Anolis sagrei: one gene and its partner. The protein of the gene in region 2 interacts with the protein of the main gene of each other region in a biochemical or structural test. Links are inferred from orthologs where the notes say so. Each region holds a gene or a part of one and is shown on either strand. Other genes may lie near its edges.

Region 1 (10,099 bases), on a different chromosome or scaffold from region 2:
CCTGGTCTTTTGATGCCTCTGCCAAAAAGTGTTGGTGCCTTACCAAACTCCAAATACCAAGATGGCATAGCATTGAACCATGGCAGTTGAAGCGGTGTCAAAAGCATTGTTTCCTCAATTCTGCTTTTTCCAGGTGTTTTGGACCTCAGCTCCCAGAATCCCTGATCATTAACTAACATAGATGAGGCTTCTGGGAGTTGAAGTCAAAAGACCAGAGTTTGGGAATTACCAAGTGGCCATTCATAACCTTCCTTTGCACATGCACACTATCCTCAACTGCACTGATCTGGACCACCCCAGGTGCATGTACACTGTAGAATGGATGCTGTTTGACACAACTGACTGCCATAGCTCCATGCTATTGAATCATTGGAGCTGCAGTTTTACAAAATCTTCTGCCAAAGAGTTCTGCTGCCTCGCCAAACTGGAAATCCCAGGATCTCATAGCACTGTGCATGGTGCTAAACTTGTATTGTTTCTCAAATTGGTTTTCCAGGTGTTTGAGACTTCAGCTCCCAGAATTACTGATCACTGACCAACACAGCTGAGGCTTCTGGGAACTGAGCTTCAAAGCAGTTGGAAGACTAGAGGTATGCTCTTCGTGGCGCTTTAGACTTCAGCTCCCAGAATCCCTGATTACTGGGCAAAGCAGCTAAAACTTCAGGGAGTTGAACTCCAAAACATTGAAGGACCAAGTTCAATTCTTCCTAATACAGGAAGTCCTCATGTTACAAACAAGATAGCTATACGCTTTATAGTGCCATTTTCTACAGTGTTTGATAGGAGTTGCCAGGTCCTGCTCGCTCAGGCTCATAGTCTAACCCCCTGAAAGGTACAGAGTTAAGCAGCCACACTCTCTCATAGAGTAAGACACACTCATTGTCCAGGTGGAGGCCACAAGGGGATCTTGACAGAGAGGACAGTCCCTTTTACAGGGGGTGGGGGAGAATTTAAAACCCTACACCTATGTTGCTGTCATCGAAACTATCATTGTTTATGACATGGGAAAGGGAGGGGCAGAAATAACCAGCTAAAATAGGGGAAATGATTTTCTTCCTTCAACTCCCCCTTCCCTCCAATAAAATGAACTATACTTCTCTCTATAGGTCTTCTTATGGAGTCCACCTAGATAATGGAACAGTATTACTTGCCATATGTAAGCCACCTTGAGTCCTTTTCAGAGTAAAGAAAGGTGGGTATTAATAGGGTAAATAAATAAATAATAGATGGTCTTTGTTTTGCTGTCTGTGCTTTGTTCAGAAGATATCACCTCACTTTCTGTATCTATAAGAATTGGATTTTGCAAAATGAGGCTTGTGGAAACAAGGCTTGGTGATACAGCTTCAGTGGAGACACCTTTTCCCCATGATAACTCCTCTCCAGGAGTGAATTTCCCTTCCCAGGGGTAGATTTCTCTCACTTCCTGTTGTCTCACCCTTGTTCTGAACTAGGAGTTGTTTGTCACTTAGGGACTGCCTGTACTTTGAACTTCAGCTCCCAAGATCCCTGATCATTAGCCAAGACTAGGGCCAATACTCCTGTAAGCTGAAATCCAAAACACCTGAAAGGACAATGGATTGTTGTGAGCTAGCTGATGTTTCATCCAAATCTATGGCAGCCATCCTCAGAGATTGTGAGGTGTGTTGGAAACAAGGCAAGTGGGGTTTATATATCTGTGGCGCGTCTAGGATGCCTACCACAGATGTGAGTGAAATGTCAGGAGAGAATGCTTCTGGAGCATGGCCATACAGCCCAGAAAACTCACAGCAACCCGGTGATTCCGGCCATGAAAGCCTTCGACAACACACTTGAAAGGACAGGCTGCCTCCTACAGAATCCTGGGGTTTGTAGGCTAGTGAGGACCAGGACTTCTCTGGCACAGAATGTTGAAGCTGCAGAATGCAGCCATAGGATTTAAAGTGGATGAAGACATTCTATGAGGCATGGGCAAGCATGGGCCCTCCAGGTGTCAACTTCAACTCCAACCATTCCTAACATCCTCAGGCCTTTTCCTTTTCCCTTAAGCAGCAGAGGGGGGGGAAGGAAAGGGCCTGAGGGTGTTAGAATGGTGGGAGTTGAAGTCCAAAACACCTGCAAGTCCCAAGTTGGCCCATGACTTTGTGTGATGGGTGAACCTTTCTGTGGCTTGCCTCTGCGCATAGGTCAGTGTTTCTAAACCTAGGGGTCGGGACCCCTGGGGGGTTGCGAGGGGGCATCAGTGGAGTTGCCAAAGACCATCAGAAAACACAATATTTTTGGTTGATCAGGGAGGTTCTGTGTGGATGGGGTTCTGTCGTTAGTGGGGTTCTGAATGCTCATTGATTGTAGGTGAGCTATAAATCCCAGCAACTACAACTCCCTAAATGTCAAGCTCTATTTTCCCCAAACTCCACCAGTGTACACATTTGGGCATATTGAGTATTTGTGCCAAGTCTACTCCAAATCTATAATTGTTTGAGTCCACAGTGCTGTCTGGATGTAGGTGAACTACAACTCCAAAACTCAAGGTCAATGCCCACCAAATCCTACCAGTGTTTTCTGTTGGTCATGGGAGTCCTGTGTGCCAAATTTGGTTCAATTCCATTGTTTGAGTTCAGAAATGCTCTTTGATTGTAAGTTAACTATACATTCCAGCAACTACAACTCCCAAATAACAAAATTAATCCTTCCCCCAACCCCACCAGTATTCAAATTTGGGCGTATTGGGGTTTTGTGCCAAATTTGGTCCAGTGAATGAAAATACATCTTGCATATCAGATATTTAAAATATGAAACTCCCTTCCTAGTAATATTAGATCGGCCCCCTCCCTCCTGTCCTTCAGAAGGATGGTGAAGACCTGGCTGTGGGACCAAGCCTTTGAGGAAGTGCAATGAGGCAAAATGGTGTCCTGAGATGGTCTGTAAACAACTTTTAATGTTAATATACATTATTTTAAGGTTTGTATATACTTATGGTTTTATGTCCCGGCATTGAAAGTTTGCCGTGTGTGTGTATGCAGGCCCGTAGCCAGGATTTCGATTTGGGGGGGGGGGGGCTGAGTCTGAGTGAAAGAGGGTCTACCCTAGCAAACCTTTTGTATTGTTACCCCAATACCCCCATGCATACGGGATATATTGTGTAAGGTGATCAGATTAAGATATGAATACACATAACAGTTTAAATAATGCACCAGTAAGGCCTTTTCGCGAACCACCATGAGAATTTCGGGGGGGGGGCTGAAGCCCCTCAAGCCCCCCCCCCGCTACATGCCTGTATGTGTGTGCGTGTGTGTTTATGTGCATGTGTATATGTGTGTGTGTGTGTGTATATATACACACACACCTCTCGTAGGTGTGTATATGTGTGTGTGTGTGTGTGTGTGTGTATGTGTATGTATATATATATATATATATATATATATATATATATATATGTTGTGCTCCCTCCTGAGTCCCCTGCGGGATGAGAAGGGCAGAATATAAATGTTTTAAATAAATAAATAATTCATAACACTAGCAAAAAAAATGAGCCCCCAGTGGCACAGTGGGTTAAAAGCACTGAGCTACTTGACTTGCTGATTGAAAGGTCACAGATTCAAATCCAGGGAGCAGTGTGAGCTCCCGCTATTAGCCCCAGCTCCTGCCAACTCAGCAGTTCAAAAGCATTCAAATGTGAGTAGATCAATAGGTACCACTCTGGCGGGAACATAACTGCACTCCATGCAGTCATGCCGGCCACATGATCTTGGAGGTGTCTATGGACAACGCCTGCTCTTTGGCTCAGAAATGGAGATAAGCACCAAACCCCAGAGTCAGACACGACTGGACTTAATGTCAGGGGAAAACCTTTACCTTAACCTTTACTTTAGCAGCAGCAAAATTACAATTGTGAAGTAGGGACGAAAATAAGGTGATAGTGGTTGGGGGGGGGGGTGGTCACCACAACCTGAGGAACTGTATTAAGGGGTTGGGGCATTAGGAAGGCTGGGAACCACTGACATAGGCACTTCCAAGAGAGAGACACGGATTCGCCTTCTTACCATACTGGAAGTACCCCGTGCCATAACCGGGCCGGTACCGGCTGCTCTGCCGGGGCCTCTCGTAGGTGTCGTGGTAGTTGTAATACGGGTTGTCGTCGGTGTACTTGTAAGGGTTGTAGGGGTCGTCGCCCTGCATCACGTCATCGCGGCGGCGGGGCAAGCTGTTCAGTGGAGGCGCATTGCTGCTGCTGCTGCTGGTGGTGGTGTTGTTGCCCGGCCGGGAGGAGGCGCTCTCGGGCGGCGGCGCTCTCCTCCCTCCTCCTCCTCCTCCGGCTTGGAACCAAAGGCGCGGCTCTTGCCCCTGGGCGTCGGGGGCGAGGGAGGGCGGCGAGGCGGGAGGCGCAGCCCTGCGCGGAGCCGTCCCGTTCCCCCGGAGCAGCAGGACGTGGTTGCCTTGCGGCGCCTCCGAGCTGTGCCTCCTCCGCGGAGGCTGGTACTGGGAGCCCACGCTGAGGAGGCTGTACACCTGCCCGTTGTTCTCCCACTGAATCCGCTGCTGCCACACCGCCGGGGGAGGAGGAGGAGGAGCGGGGTTCCTCGGAGGAGGCAATCCCTCCGCTTGGAGCCAGAAGAGGCCGAGCCAACAGAGAAGCCGGGAGAAGAGGCGCATCGTGGCTTCACGGTGTTCACAACAACACCACTCGTGCCTTTGGGAGCAGTAATAATACAAAGCGGAGCAGCCCGTCCTCTTTGATGAGCCCCTTCGACTGAGGTCTCGCTTCCTTACTAGTCTGAAAACCACCTCTCACTTTCTCTCTTCTTCCCAGATGGGTTTTCTCCGCTGAATGAAGAGCGAAAAGGAGCCCTTTCTCTCTGCTTCCCAATTGGGGTTCCTTCCTTCCCTTGAAGAGATGAGTATGGAGAGAGAAGGCGCCCTCTTTCTCTTTCTTTCTCTCTCTCTCTCTCCTTCCCAATTGTGTTTTCTTCTCTCCACTGGAGAGATGGATGTGGAAAGGAGCGAGTCTCTCTCTGTGTGCGCCTCTTTCTCTCTCTCTCTCTCTCTCTCTCTCTCTCTCTCCCTTTGGCTGCTGTCTGGGACCAAGAGACGGAGGAGGGGAGAAAGGCTGGGGAGGAGGGATTCTGCTTTATTATTTTTTCAAACTTTTCTGGCACAGTTGCAAAGTTACACAAGGCTGTTTGTTCACGTAATGGGATTCCTGACATGAGATGTCGACGGCGCCCCCATTTTTTTCCTCCTCTCACTGATAGACACAGGGTGTATCTACTCTATACTGTGGAATAAATACAGCCTGAAACCATTTCAGATAACCTAGTTGAAAGCAGATATTGTGGGATTTTCTGCTTTGATATCATGGGTTATAGGGCTGTGTGGAAGGGCCCATAAGATCTGGGCAATTTCAGCACTGGGGAGCCTTCCACATAGCCCTATATCCCAGAATATCAAGGCAGAAAATCCCACATTATCTGAGGACCTTTCCAAACAGACCCTGTATATCCCAGGATCTGATCCCAGGTTTTCTGTTTATCCCAGATTATCTGAAGGTGGGGATTTATATAATCCAGTTTAATGCAGAAAAACTGGGATCAGATCCTGGGATATAGGACCTTTCTGGAAGGGCCCCAAAGTGTGGACTCAGATAACCCAGTAGAAAGCAGATATTGTGGTATTTTCTGCCTTGATATTCTGGAATATAGGGCTATGTGGAAGGCCCCCCAGTGCTGAAATTGCCCAGATACTAAACAGCCTCTGGGGATGCCTGCCATAGATGCAGGCAAAATGTCAGGAAATAATGCTTCTGGAACATGGCCATACAACCCGAAAAATGTACAGCAACCCAGTGATTCCAGCCATGAAAGCATTTGACAAAGCAGAGTTGATGCCCCCCTCCAAACTACAAATCCCATTGTCCCACGAATACACCACAGCATTGAACCATGGCAGTTAAAGGGGGGGGGGTCAAACTGTATGCGTGTGTGTGTGTACACACACATATATTCATTCAAAGGGGTTGGATCATGTTTGCACATATTATAAGTTTTGATTTATTTTTTTAAAATGGAATAACTTAACTAAATTCTAGCCACTTCTAATATTACCCTATTACTAAAGACAATAAGACAAACAAGGACAGACCCCTATTCCATAATAATAATATTAATACTACTACTACTACTACTAATAATAATAATAATAATAGTAAATGACACAGTCCTAGATGCTTGGGAAATGTTCGACTTGTGATTTTGTGATACGAAATCCAGCATATAGATCTCGTTTGCTGTGACATATTGTGCTTTTGTGTCAGTAAAATAATAATAATAATAATAATAATAATAATAATAATAATAAGCTGCTACAAGAAGATCGCACAGACTACAAGCAGAGGCATAACGCCATTGCTCAGATGATTCATTGGAATTTGTGCCACAAATGCTATCTGCCTGTGACAAAGAACTGGTGGGATCACAAGCCAGAAAAAGTTACAGAGAATGAATACGCCAAGCTACTCTGGGACTTCCAAATTCAAACAGAGTTTTGGAGCACAATACTCCTGACCTCACAATCATGTTAAAAAACAAAGTATGGATTGTTGATGTTGCAGTCCCAGGTGACAGCAGGATTGAAGAGAAACAACTGGAAAATCTGACATAATATGAGGATTTAAAGATCAAACTCCAAAGACTCTGGCACAAGCCAGTAAAGATGGTCCCAGTGGTGATCGGCACACTGGGTGCAGTGCCTAAAGACCTTGGCCTGCACTTAAACACAATCGGCGCTGACAAGATTACCATCTAACAGCTGCAGAAGGCCACCTTACTGGAATCTGCACGCATTATTCGTTGATACATCACACAGTCCTAGACCTTTGGGAAGCCCAATTTAAGGTGCAGGTGCTTACCTACAAAGCCCTAAACGGTTTGGGACCATCCTACCTGCGTGACCGCATCTCCATGTACGAACCCACGCGTTCACTTCGTTCATCCGGAGAGGCCCTGCTCATGATTCCGCCTTTGTCACAGGCACGTTTGGTGGGGACACGAGACAGGGCCTTTTCTGTGGTGGCCCCCCAACTCTGGAACACCCTCCCCAAAGATCTTAGACAGGCCCCTACGTTGGCAGTCTTTAGAAAGAACTTGAAGACCTGGCTGTTCCGATGTGCCTTTCCAGAATAGGAAAACTCCAATAACAAGTCCCAGAAGCACTTTATTAGAATTAAGATTGCTGGCACACTGCACATACCCTATAATCCTTACATATCACCTGTCACTTCAGCACTTTTAATCTGTACCCATTACTCTGGCCCGGCCCAGTTTTATTGTGTCTTGGTGTATTGTTTATTGCTTGTTGTTTAATTTTGCTTTAACTGTTTTTAATTTTTTAATTTGCTTTAGGTTGTGTATTGTTATGTTGTGTTTTGAGGCCTTGGCCTTTGTAAGCGGCATCGAGTCCTTCGGGAGATGCTAGCGGGGTACAAATAAAGTTAATAATAATAATAATAATAATAATAATAATAATAATAATAAGTGTCTGACGTGTGATCCAATACAACAGCCAGCAGAGTGTCTGCTGTGGACTCATCTTGTTGTGTTTCAAGTAATAATAATAATAAACTTTATTTATATCCCACCACCATCTTCCCAAAGGGACTTGGGACAGCTTACTAAGGCACTCCAGGGTGCAGCATATAACATAAAATGGTACAAAAATATAAAACAATAAAACATAACATTATAACAACAACCATTACCAATGCATATAACAAAAAATAAAATTGCTCCATTTTATAATGCAGAACACCTGTAGATAAAAACTAGTTGCCAGCAATTCACAAACTAAAGTACCAGCATGTCAACCTCATTTAGGCCCATTACAGCCTACTTGAGGTTAAAGGCCTGTTTAAAAATCCTTGTTTTTAGGCTAGATCGGAAGGATTGGGGGGTGGGGGCTAACCTAATCTCTTATGGGAGGGTATTCCAGAGCTGGGGAGCCACCACCAAAAAGCCCTCTCTCAAGAGAAGGGACTCCTCTGCAGATCTCAAAGCCCGCACCGGTTGATAGAAAGAAATGCAGTCTCGAAGATAGGTTGAACCCGGAAACTAGTTGGAAGAGAGTAGAGCTGCTTTAATAGAGGTGTGGTATGCTCTCTATAACTAGCCCCAGTTAATAATCTGGCAGCCAACCTTTGCACTAGCTGCAGTTTCTGAACCATCTTCAAAGGCAGCCCCACGGAAAGTGCTTACCATAGTCCATTCTGGATTTAACTAAGGCATGGACCACCATGGCCAAGTCAGGCTTCTCGTGGTACAGTCACAGTTGGCACATAGTGTGAAGGCGCTCCCAGCCACTGCCAACAACTGAGCTTCAAGCATCAATGATGAATCCAGGAGAACCCCCAGACTCCGGACCTGTGTCCTCAGGGGGAGTGTAGCCCCGTCGAGCACAGGTTGACACCCTATACCCCGATCCACCTCACGACTGAACAAGAGGACCTCTGTCTTGTATGGATTAAGCCTCAGATTGTTGGCTCTCATCCAGTCCATCACAGCTGCCAGGCACTGGTCCAGGATATGGAGAGCTTCCTTGGAGTGAGGTGGAAAAGAGTAGTAGATTTGAGTGTCATCTGCATTATCCTATAGCATTGAGCTATGGCAGTTAAGAGGGTGTCAAACTGCATTCCTTTTAAAAAATATATTATTATGTTTATTTATACCCTGATTTATCACTCCAGAGGAAACTCGGGGCCCTTCCATACAGCCATATAACCCAGAATATCAAGGCAGAAAATCCCACAATATCTGCTTTGAACTAAGTTATCAGAGGGCCGTTCTAGACAGACCCTATATCCCAGGATCTGATTCCAGGTTTTCTGTTTATCCCAGATTATCTGGCAGTGTGGACTCTAATTCAGTTTAAAGCAGAACACCTGGGATCAGATCCTGGGATATAGGACCTGTCTGGAAGAGCCCTGAGTCCACACTGCTGTATATTCCAGTTCAAAGCAGATAATGTGGGATTTTATTCAGCCGTGTGGAAGGGGCCTCAATGTGACTTACATTAAAAGTATTACTACATAATTTAAAATATACTATTATTCAAACATTAAAAGAGAATTAAACATAACAGTATTTTAAAAAATCACAGTTAAAATCAATTAAACATATTCAAAGTTTAAACCATAGCACCCCCTGACTTGACACTCCGTAATGCTCTTTTTGGGGTGGTATCTGAGGGAAGCCAAGAGGGTCGAGGCAGAGTTGGTTTCCACACAGAAGATGGCCATAAGGGTTAACAGCAGCAGCAGGCAGGCTTCCTTCTCCTTTCCTCTTTCCTCAGACTCCTGAGGCCTTGCCAGGTGCTGAGGCGCCGCCAAAATATGCACAGAGAAAAATGCTATTAGATCATCAGCGCCGACTCAGAGAGAGACCAGAAAGCTGAGTCCAAAGAGAGGAGACGGAACATGTTTTCTGGGAAATGTGTTATTTTTTGCCCTAGACCTCTTTCTCCCATCATAGGAGCTCTGAGGGGAACCTTAGTGGTGTCTGAGGTGGGAAAGTCCAGAATAAGAGAAAGCCCAACAACTCGATGTCCACTTGTCATTATGACCTCCTTGTATAAACTCCTGCATACCAAGTTTTGTGGGCCTTTTTATTCTGGGGTGAGTCTTTGGTGGTGACTGAGGTGGAAATGCACAAAACACAAATCTCTCAACAAGGCAGCTTCACCTCAACACCACACACATTACAACAGCCACTCCACATCCGCTTGAAACGCTCCTTATTCAGTATGGTCCAAATCCACCTCAAATAAACTCCTGCATACCAAGTTTAGTTTTGTTTTTTAACACTGGGGTGAGTCACAGGAGGACTTCGTGACCGACGTGTCTCCTGGAAGAGAGACTCACTTCAAAACAGGGTTTTCCCCGAGAGGAACCCACTGTCATGTCCAAAAATGTCAGACGGGGAAATGGGAGAGGTTTTTCCTCTCCTTTTTTCTGAGGAAAATGTTAGTAATTCTATTATAAGGAATCGAGACAATCTGCTGAATCCCAACAGAGATCCTGCAGCCAAAGGTTCAACCATTCATATCTTAAAAGAAAATCTTGGATTTGATGTCAAAG
Region 2 (10,986 bases):
GTTTCCTTTACTGCTCTAATGGGAATTTTTAAATTTGATCAGCCCAATTAAAAATTAAAAAGCAATCCATTAAATGTGTTGGAAAGCCATTGGTTGCTATAAATTATAGAATGTGTCACCAATTTATCCCCCCAAAAAGGGGGACAGTCAAAATTTGCGACACGCAAGGATGACAAGTAGCTATTTCACAACTCAGCGGGAACGGACGCCTAGATTCCAGTTCTTTTCAACATGTGTTTCTCTGTTTTAAAAAAAGAACAACATATTTTCCAGTTTCATAAATTCCATGATGCACATATTTCTGCCTTCGTGGAGGGCCCAACGCTTCCAAAATTGGGGATTTTTTTCTTCTTCTGGCATCTTGTTCCATGTCAAAAGGACAAACTTTCCAAAAGAAAGGACTTTTCATATAAAGAGTATCAGCAGAATTTGATAAACAATTGCATCAAGGTAGATCTCAATCTTTTTGCAGCCAAATAACTACACATCCCAGCATTTTTATGAATGCTAGAGCAGGTGGGATTTGTAGTCTTTGAGGGATGCTCACACCTCCATCAGCTCCTAAGCTGGACTTCAGGGAACAATTTGGAAAAAGATTCCAAATCTTGCTCCTTTTTTGACTAATTCAGTGGTTCCTAACCTTTTTTTGACCAGGGACCACTTTGACCAGATACCACTTGAACCAGGACCACTTTGACCAAGGACCACTTGAGCAAGGACCACTTTGACCAGGGACCATTTGATCAAGGACCATTTTGACCAGGGACCACTTTACCAAGCATCACTTGAATAGGGACCACTTGACCAAGGACCATTTGAATAGGGACTACTTTGACCAGGGACTATTTGATCAAGGACCACTTGAACAGGGACTACTTGATCAGGGACCACTTTGACCAAGGACCACTTGACCAGGGATCACTTGATCAAAGACCACTTTGACCAGGGACCACTTTACCAAGCACCACTTGAACAGGGACCACTTGATCAAGGACCACTTTGAACAGGGACCACTTGATCAAGGACCATTTTGACCAGGGACCACTTTACCAAGCACCATTTGAACAGGGACCACTTGATCAAGGACCATTTGAACAGGGACCACTTTGACCAGGAACCACTTGACCAAGGACCACTTGAACAGGGACTACTCTCCAACATATATTATTATTATATTTTAATATAATAATGAAAAAAAACAATGTAATGATAATGTAATTACAATGTAATAACTACAATAACAACAACTGGAAGCAAAATATACACTCCCTTTCTCCCTCTGATGCTGGGAACTGTCAGCTTTATGTATAATCTGAATTGAAAGCATGCTGATCAGATTTGCAGATGGGACCAAATTGGGAATAAGAGCTAAGATCCCAAAAAGACAGGATAAGGATCCAAAAGGACCTTAACGATCAGAGAGCTGTTCAGCTAAAACTAACAGAATGCATTGCAAGAGGGAAAAATGTATAGTACTACACTCTGGCAGTAACCATGAAATGCACAGCTGTAATAGAATGGGTTTGAAAGGAGTCCATGCAAAAGGCATCTAGGTGTCTTCATAAAGAGACACAAGGAGAGGCAGGTAAGAAACAAAAGTATTATTATTATTATTATTATTATTATTACTATTATTATTATTATTATTAGCTGAACCTGAGCCAACAGTGTGATGCAGCAGTGCAAAAGGCCAATGTGATGATTCTGGGGTCTCGAGATTTTTAGGGTCTTCCTTGGATGCATTGTTGGTCAGTCAAGATGGCCTTTGGGGTCCTCCCGTGATCCCAGGATTCTCCAAACAGACTGCATCACCAGTGAAATATTTCACAAACCTATACTTATCAAGCACCTTTAGCTCGCTTGAGTCACAAAGCCAAGCCTTCCTCAGAAAGATCTCCCAAGCCTTTCTCATCCCTCTGAGACAACTCATCCACTGCAAAATTAGCCACATTTCTCTTCCAAGACTTATCCCAACCCAACCCAGTTGTCTCGCCGAAGCAGAGCATGGGAAGAATACATCATGTCAGTTTGAAATTGCTTCACTGCGAATGAATTGTGATTGCCAGCCGAAACCCAAGGGGTTCGGACAACTTGGTCCAAAAAAATATAGAAGTCGCAGACGGACGTGCAAAGTTTGACCGGACGAGAAGTTCTTAAAGAAGGAACAAGAGAACCCACTGGGCATTGGACAGATCTGAGAGACTATTGGTCCCATTTCTTGGATCCTTTGCAAGTTAGAAAGGGATCCCAAAGTGTCCAACAAGTGGGACCCATCTCCTGTTTCCATTCTCCTTTGCAACCAAAGTAACCTAGAAAAGGATGTCAGATCAGAACACAGGTGGCTCTTACTAACCAACTTGTGTGCAAATTAGAACAAAAACACACACTTTTCTGGTAACTACTCCTTTTCGATACAAACTCTCGGGCTTGATTGTCCCATGTTCTAACCACCATCCAGGCTTACTCAGAACACTTGTACATGCTCAGAGGCACTCTCTGATCCATCCCCATGACCAAGATTTGCAATTTGGAAACCATCTCTCAAACCCAGCTCATATTGCCACTCTTCCTACCCTATTTAGTTCTGATTTTTTAAAGTGAGGAATATAATGGTGGCATCACCATTTCCCTATCCAGCTGGTTTTGCAGACCCTCTTCCATCAGAAGGCTGGAGCAAAGAGTTGGGAAGTTTTGTTCCTTTCAGTGAAAGTGAGAGGAGGGATGCAAAGGGGGAGGAGGGAAGAAAAAAAAATTGGAAATCGGAGAAGACAAGACTGGAACATTGGAAGAAGTTCCCCAGAAAAGATGGAAAGGAGACAACAAGGTCCACCATCCATAGTAAGGGAAGACAGGGAAGTTCAAGATGCCCAGAGAAGAAGAAGATGGAAAGGAGACAAGATAGTCCAACACTGCAGGACGAGATCAGCCAAAAGTTGGAAGATCCCCAGCAAAGATGGAAAGATCAGAGAAGGAGAGGATGGCAAGGAGGAAAAAAGGACCACCATCTGCAGTAAAAGACCAGAAAGTCAGAATATGTCAAGAGGATGAAGTGAAAGGAGACACAGAGGTCTACATTAAGAAAAGACCAGAAAGTTAGAAGATGCCAAGAGAAGGAGAAGGTGGAAAAGAGGCAAGGAGGCCCACTGCTGTAGGGTGAGATGAGCAGAAAGCTGGAAGAGCTTCAGAGAAGGAGAAGATGCAGAGATGGTCCACCATCCACAAGAAGAGAAGACTGGAAAGTTGAAAGATGCCCAGAGAAGGAGAAGATGGAATGGAGGCAAGGAACACCATTTGCATTAAGAAAAGACCAGAAAATTAGAAGATACCCAGAGAAGAGGAAGATAGAGAGGAGACAAGGAGGTCTACCATCCACAGGAAGAGAAGACCAGAAATTTAGAAGACGCCCAGAGAAGGAGAAGATGGAGAGAATGCAAGGAGGTCCAATGCCACAGGAAGGGATGAGCAGAAAATTGGAAGAGCCTCAGAGAATGAGAGGATGGAAAGGAGAAGACTAGAAAGTTGAAAGATGCCCAGAGAAGGAGAAGATGGAATGGAGGCAAGGAGCACTATTTGCATTAAGAGAAGTCCAGAAAGTTAAAAGATGCCCAGAGAAGAGGAAGATGGAAAGGAGACGAGGTCCATCATTTGCATTAAGAGAAGACCAGAAAATTGGAAGATCCCGACAGAAGGAGAAGAAAAGGAGACAAGGAGGTTGACCATATGCAGAAAGAGATGAGCAGAAAGTTAGAAGATGCCCAGAGAAGATGGAAAGGAGACAAGGATGTCCACCATTCATATTAAAAGAACCAGAAAGTTAGAAGATGCCCAGAGAAGAAGATGGAAAGGAGACAAGGATGTCCACCATTCATATTAAAAGAACCAGAAAGTTAGAAGATGCCCAGAGAAGAAGATGGAAAGGAGACAAGGATGTCCACCATTCATATTAAAAGAACCAGAAAGTTAGAAGATGCCCAGAGAAGAAGATGGAAAGGAGACAAGGATGTCCACCATCCGCATGAAAAGAAGACCAGAAAGTTAAAAGATGCCCAGAGAAGAAGATGGAAAGAAGACAAGGAGGTCCAATGCTGCAGGAAGAGATGAGCAGAAAGTTGAAAGGTCCTCACAGAAGGAGAGGATGGAAAGGAGGCAAGGAGGTCCACCAGTAGCCTATCCAAGGGCTGGCCTTCCTTCTACATGGAGGGGATGCATGCTAACCCCCCAAACCAGGTAGCCTGAGCCTGGAGTGGGCTCTCCCTTTGCTTACCTCCTTGCCACGAAGCCGGGAGGCTGGAGAGGAGGAGAAGGAGGAGGCCGGCTGCTCCAGAAAGGAGGGAAGAAGTCCACGGCTTAGCCATCTCTCCCCAGCAATGCCCCAGTCTGCTGGCGGCCCGAGCGGTTTTATCCCAGCGGTGCCGCAGCTCAATTTGCGGCTTCCAGAGACTTTTTTTTCAGGGGGTGGGTGGGCTGAAAAAAGAGGGGGTCTAGAGAGAAGGAGGGAGGGAGAAGGAGGAGAACGGCCCGGGACACGACGTCATCCAGAGAGGGCAAACAAACAGGAGAGTTTTTTGGGCTGGCTTCCCTTGTTTCGAAAAATCTCTCCCTCTCGGTCGTCTGGGCCCAGTCTCTTGCCAAAAGCGAGCACAGCTGCCAAGAAAAGACAAGAGTTTGTAGGAAAAGGAGGTGTTTGGAGCTCCCTCTAGCTTGGGACGGCAGCCCTGACCCAACTCCATAAAGGATGTGTCTACACCGGCGAAAAGAAGGCAGACTCACTCCCAAATCCTGCAGTGGATCTGTCTCTGGGCCCAAGCTAACTCCAAACTCTCTTCATGCGCATCAGCGCTCTGCGGTTCACATCAGCACCATCCGGGCGTCCAACTGGTTCCAGGATTTCCAAGGCAATCACCTGTGCTTACTTCCATAGTGGTTTGAAACTGTGTTAAATGGTCAGTTAGACAGGGCCCTTGTTTGCCCACAACCCAACTTTCTTCAAAGCGAAGCAAAGTCAGAAGGAAGGACTACGTTTCACGGGAACTCCGGAGTGACTTTTGGTTCTTTGATGGTGCGGACAGCTCAAGTGAATCATGGAACCAGAACATCAAAGAGTTGGAAGAGACCCCAAAAGCCATCTAGTCCAACTTCCTCCTACCAAGCAGGAGGACACCACCTAAGCCCTCTTGACAGATGGCCATCCAGACAAAGATAATGGTCATAGATATGATATATATGATTGAGAGAAGGAGATATTTTTGTGTGTGTCAAAAGCAGCTTGAGAAACTTGAGATAATTGGCCGTCTGCAAGGATGTTGCCCAGGGGACGCCTAGATGTTTTTGGTGTTTTACCATCCTGTGGGAGGCTTCTCACATATCCCCACATAAGAAGCTGGAGCTGACAGATGGGAGCTCACCCACGCTCGCCAGATTCAAACCACTGACCTGTCTGTCAGCAGTCCTGCCGACATGAGGGTTTAACCCATTTTGCCACCGTGGGTTCTAGAATAATAAAAGTCTAGAACGTATGTATGTGGATGTATAGGTATGTGTGTATGTGGCAGCTTTCTGATTGGCTCCCACTTCCACAGGACACTGTGACCCCCATGAAAGACGAACCTGGACCAAACTTGGTACACATAACCCCCATGACCCATTTTACATCCTGGTGTAGTTTGGGGGAGGATGGCTGACAGATGGTGGGATTTGCAGTACTTTCAATCACTTCAGCTCCCACAGACCACTGTGACCCCACCAATGATGGAACAGGACCAAACTTGGTACACAGACCCCACATGACCCACTTTACAGCCTGGTGTGGTTTAGGGGAGGATGGACCACGGATGATGGGACTTGCAGTACCTTCACTCACTTCCTGAGACCACTGTGACCCCCACCAATGACAGATCAGGACCAAACATAGCACACAGAGCCCCCATCGCCCATCCTGGTGCAGTTTGGAAGAGGATGGACCATGGATGATGGGACTTGCAGTACCTTCCCTCACTTCCTGAGACCTCTGAGACCCACACCAATGAAGGATCAAGACCAAACTTGGCACACAGAGCCCCCATCGCCCATTCTACATCCTAGTGCAGTTTGGAAGAGGATGGACCATAGATGATGGGACTTGAAGGACTTTCACTCACTTCCTGAGTCCACTGAGACCCACACCAATGACGGATCAAGACCAAATTTGGCATACAGAACCCCCATGACCCACTTTACAGAAGGAGCTGATTAGATATGTTTGAAGAGGGAGAGAAATGGTAGATATATCTTCAAATCCTTCAATCGGAAGGGACCACAAGGAGGACACCAAGCAGGAAGACACCACCCAAGCCCTCCCTGACAGGTGGCCATCCCCCTCTGCTTAAAGACCCCCAGAGAAAGGGGCTCCACCACACTTGGAAAACAAGGGGGCCCAGACAATTGGGGGGGGGGGGGGACAGAACGTCTGGAGATAGCCTATCTCCAAAAGCATTCTTCCTTTGCTTCCAAACAGCTGAGCCGGAGATTCGGAGCCAACGGGGCTGAGGGCCAGACATGGCTCAAGCTGTTTTGTGCTCCGATATCCCACACCTGGAGCCCCAAAAAGGGCAAGGGAGGGCACCGGACGTGGCTGACACAACACAAGACACAGGCAGACAAAAGGAACATCCGATCCCCCGCAACGGCAACAATCTCTTGTCGCTCATCTGGGATGGATGGGTTTGCTTTGGCAGGAGGTTTTGCCGACACATTCCTGGGCCCTGCGATGTTCCGCAAATGGAAACAGGGAAGGGCCTGGCCATGCAAAGTACAGTCAAGATGGCACATGTTATTCATCGCGAAGACCAGGCAAGGTAGATGAGGATGCAGCCATTTGCTTTTGCCAGAGCCAACTGGGAAGGGTCCTAAGCAAATGCCTCTGTGTACTAAGATCTATATCTTTGGGAGGGGGAGGGGGAGGGGAAGGTAGGTTGGACTACAACTCCCAAAGGACATCCAGATGTTTTGGGTCCAGCTGCAAAGTCAGCCTGGCAGGCTTCCCTAGGTCAGCGACCGCAGACAGCGCTATGTTTCCCAATTTCAAGGGTGTGCATTTGAGTGTGTGTATATCTTTCTCTCTTTCTTTCTTTTGCTCTTTCTTTCTTTCTTCTCTCTCTCTCTCTCTCTCTCGCGTTTCCACTTGGCTCCGGACGGCTCCAGATGGCCATCTGTCTGTCTGGGAGGATGCAGGCTCCACTTCTGAAGGAACCGCTCTGTTTTCCTTTGCAAAAATGCCTTCTCCTCCCTTTCTTCTGTTCTCTTTCTCCCTTCATCCAGCTGCCTTGGTACTGGATTGCAAAACATGGTGAGGCGGGCGACTCGTGCGAGGAGAACACACAAGTTGCACTGAGAGAAAAGTCTTCTTGTCTGGTCTGAGACACCCCTTGCCACCTTTTTCCAAAAGGTGTAAGGTCATACAATGCTTTATATGAGGTTACACTGACCATACAACACCTTATATGACCCCACACTGATCATACAGTACCTTATATGCATCTATATTTACTATGCAATCCCTTATGAGCCTACTGATCATATAATGCCCTACCTAGAACAGCAACAACATGACTCCATACTGACCATACAACGCCTTATATGACTCCACATGTATCTATATTGACCATTCAATGCCTTATGAGTCTACTGATCATACAATGTCTTATATGCCTCTACGCTGACCACACAATGCCTTATGAGACTTTATACTGACCATACCATTTCTTATATGCATCTATGTTGACAATTCAATGCCTTATGAGTATACTGATCATCTAATGCCTTACTCTGACCCTATAAAGTGCTTTATATGTGTCTACACTGACAATGCCATGCATTATATGAGTCTATATTTACCACACAATGCCATATACTGACTGTATAATGCCTTAAACGAGTACACTGACCGTGTAATGCCTTACACATGTTCACACTAACCGTATAATGCCTTACACGAGTTTACATTGACCTTATAATGCCTTACGCGAGTCTATACTGATTGTATGATGCTTTACACAAGTCTACGCTGACTTTATAATGCCTTGCATGAGTCTACACTGACCGTATAATGTCTTACAGGAGTCTACACTGACCATATAATTCCTTACACTAGTCTACACTGACCGTATAATGCCTTACACGAGTCTACATTGACTGTATAATGCCTTACACGAGTCTACGCTGACCTTATAATGCCTTACACAAGTCTACACTGACCGTATAATTCCTTACACGAGTCCACACTGACTGTATAATGCCTTACAGGAGTCTACACTGACCGTATAATGCCTTACACAAGTCTACATTGACTGTATAATGCCTTACAGGAGTCTACGCTGACCTTATAATGCCTTACAGTATTTACACTGACCCTGTAATTCCTTACACGAGTCTACACTGACCGTATAATGCCTTACATGAGTCTACGCTGACCTTATAATGCCTTATGCGAGACTACACTGATTGTATGATGCTTTACATGAGTCTACACTGACTTTATAATGCCTTACATGAGTCTACACTGAGCATATAATGCCTTACAGGAGTCTACACTGACCATATAATGCCTTACGCGAGTCTACACTGACCGTATAATGCCTTACACGAGTCTACACTGACCATATAATTCCTTACACAAGTCTACACTGACCGTATAATTCCTTACACGAGTCCACACTGACCATATGATGTCTTACACAAGTCTACACTAACTGTATAATGACTTACATGAGTCTCCATTAACCATATAATGCTTTACACAAATCTACACTGATGATATAATGCCTTACACGAGTCTACACTGACTGTATGATGTCTTACACGAGTCTACATTAACTCTATAATGCCTTGGACGGGTCTACACTGACCATATAATACTTTACACGAATCTACACTGACTGTATAATACCTTACACAGGTCTTCACTGATCATACACCTGACATGAGTCTACACTGCTCATATAATGCCTTATATGAGTCTACACTGACCATATAATACATGATATGAGCCCACATTGACCATTTATATATTGCCATTTCTCACCGCCTTCTATGCCATTGTTGATGAGACCTGTTTGCAGCAATTGAAGCGAGCTGAGGCTGAGGGAACAAGGCGGGAGAAGAAGAAAATAACCAGGACAGAGGAAAACATGGGACGCAAAAGGAGTCACGGGTGTGTTTTTGGTTCGGACAAGAAGGTGGACACCCGCCAAGGACATGCCTCCTTGTCCTCCTTGTGCAAAAGCTCCGAGTTCCTGCTCCGTGAGTCACCCTCTGCTATGTTTAGCAGCTCCACGGGACGCCTCCGGCTCCTTTTCCAACAACATCGAGGAAAGGGGCGAAGATGAAAGCCAGGCCGAGGGCCCTCCATGCTGGGGCCAGCGGGCAGCCGGAGGCGGTATTGACCTTGGCTCTGCTTGGGCTTTGGCACTGTTCTCCCTTCGCTCGGCACCAGCTCCCAAGGCTGGTCTGCGTCTCCTAGGCCAGATTTGGTCTTCATTTGGACCTCGGAAACAGAGAGAGGTGAGGAGCAGGGCATCCCAAGGAAGAAATTGAATGGTGGGCCGCCACATCCCATCATCCTCTGCAAGAAGGGCATCCCAGTTGGATCCCAGTCTGGAGTTGGCTATAGTCAACACTCCATTGGGATTTCCTCAGATTTGGGATGCAGAAGCTTTCTGTAGAATGCTAAAGTTGGAAGAGACCTCAAAGGTCATCCAGCCTAACCCCATTCATGCAAAAAGACAATCTGAGACCTCCCAACAGATGACCATCCAGCCTGTGCTTATCATTAATTGATTGATTCGTTGATTGAATCATAGAATCCTAGAGTCAGAAGAGACTCCAAAGACCATTCAGTCTAACCCCATTGATACAAAAAGACACAATTCGAACCCTCCTGACAGATGGCCAACCAGCCTGTGCTTGACTATTAATTGATTGATTAGTTGATTGAATAATAGAATCCTAGAGTTGGCCATCCAGTCTAACCCCATTCATACAAAAAAAGCACAACCCAAGCCCTCCCAGCTATCCAGCATGTGCTTGATTATTAATTGATTGATTAGTTGATTGAATCCTAGAGTCAGAAGACACCCCAAAGGCCATCTAGTCTAACTCCATTCTACCATGCAAAAAGGCATATTCTGAGCCCTCCTGACAGATGGCCATCCCACTTGTGCTTAATTAATTGATTAATTGGTTGATTGATTCATAGAATTCTAGAGTTGGAAGAGACCCCAAAGCTATTCTGCCATGCAAAAGGCACAATTTGATCCCTTTCAACAGATGGCCACCCAGCCTCTGAAAAATCCATTTCATAGAATCATAAAGTCCTAGAGTTGGAAGAGACCCCAAAGGCCATGCAAAAACCTATTTTGGGCACCAAAGTTGGGAGGGCATTGATTGCATCTACCTGCCTGGTAGAAGGGAGTTGGGCTGGATGGCCTTTGGGGTCTCTTCCCACTCTAAGGGCCCATGGTTTTGCCTCCTTCGCACACCCAAATGGTGCCAAGGTCAGGTCACAAGCAAAGGGAGCTTGGCCTATGCAGTTTTGCAAGGTTTTTGCAATGGACAAGAATGACCCTCTGTCTCTGAGCCGCTCTGCAGGTGTGGCGCCCCAAGCCTTCGGTGAAGGAAAGAGACGCTGAGGACATGGCTGGCAATCGGCAAAGAGGGCCCTTCCACTCCAGAAACCACACTGAGGCCAGGAAGGTGTCTGCCTCCATGCTGGGCAAGAAAGAGGAAAGAAGGAAGGGGAAAAAAGGAGGGGAAAATGGCATGAGTTCATCCATGCTGGGCCATGTGTGGCAAGGAGGAAAGAAAGAAAGAAAGAAAAAAGGAGAGGGAGGGCGGGTGGGAGGGAGGGAAGGAGGGAGGGAAGGAAAGAAAGAGAGAGAGAAAGAGAAAAAGAAGGGAGTTTCCATGTTCCTCCATAGTGGGTCATGTTTGCAAAAGATAGAACGAAAAAGA

What was found.
Region 1: the proteins of ELN (region 2) and LOX form a complex in vitro, tested with the Homo sapiens proteins (2 studies listed by BioGRID and IntAct). The link is inferred for Anolis sagrei from reciprocal best matches to the Homo sapiens genes ELN and LOX.

The regions. Positions count from the first base shown.
Region 1 is NC_090022.1:240,382,989-240,393,087, reverse strand, and holds the start of LOX (protein-lysine 6-oxidase), read right to left. Parts: upstream 5,033-10,099; 5' UTR 4,630-5,032; coding exon 4,020-4,629; intron 1-4,019. UniProt on the Homo sapiens protein: Responsible for the post-translational oxidative deamination of peptidyl lysine residues in precursors to fibrous collagen and elastin. Regulator of Ras expression. May play a role in tumor suppression. Plays a role in the aortic wall architecture.
Region 2 is NC_090031.1:33,491,574-33,502,559, forward strand, and holds the start of ELN (elastin), read right to left. Parts: upstream 4,651-10,986; 5' UTR 4,356-4,650; coding exon 4,265-4,355; intron 1-4,264. UniProt on the Homo sapiens protein: Major structural protein of tissues such as aorta and nuchal ligament, which must expand rapidly and recover completely.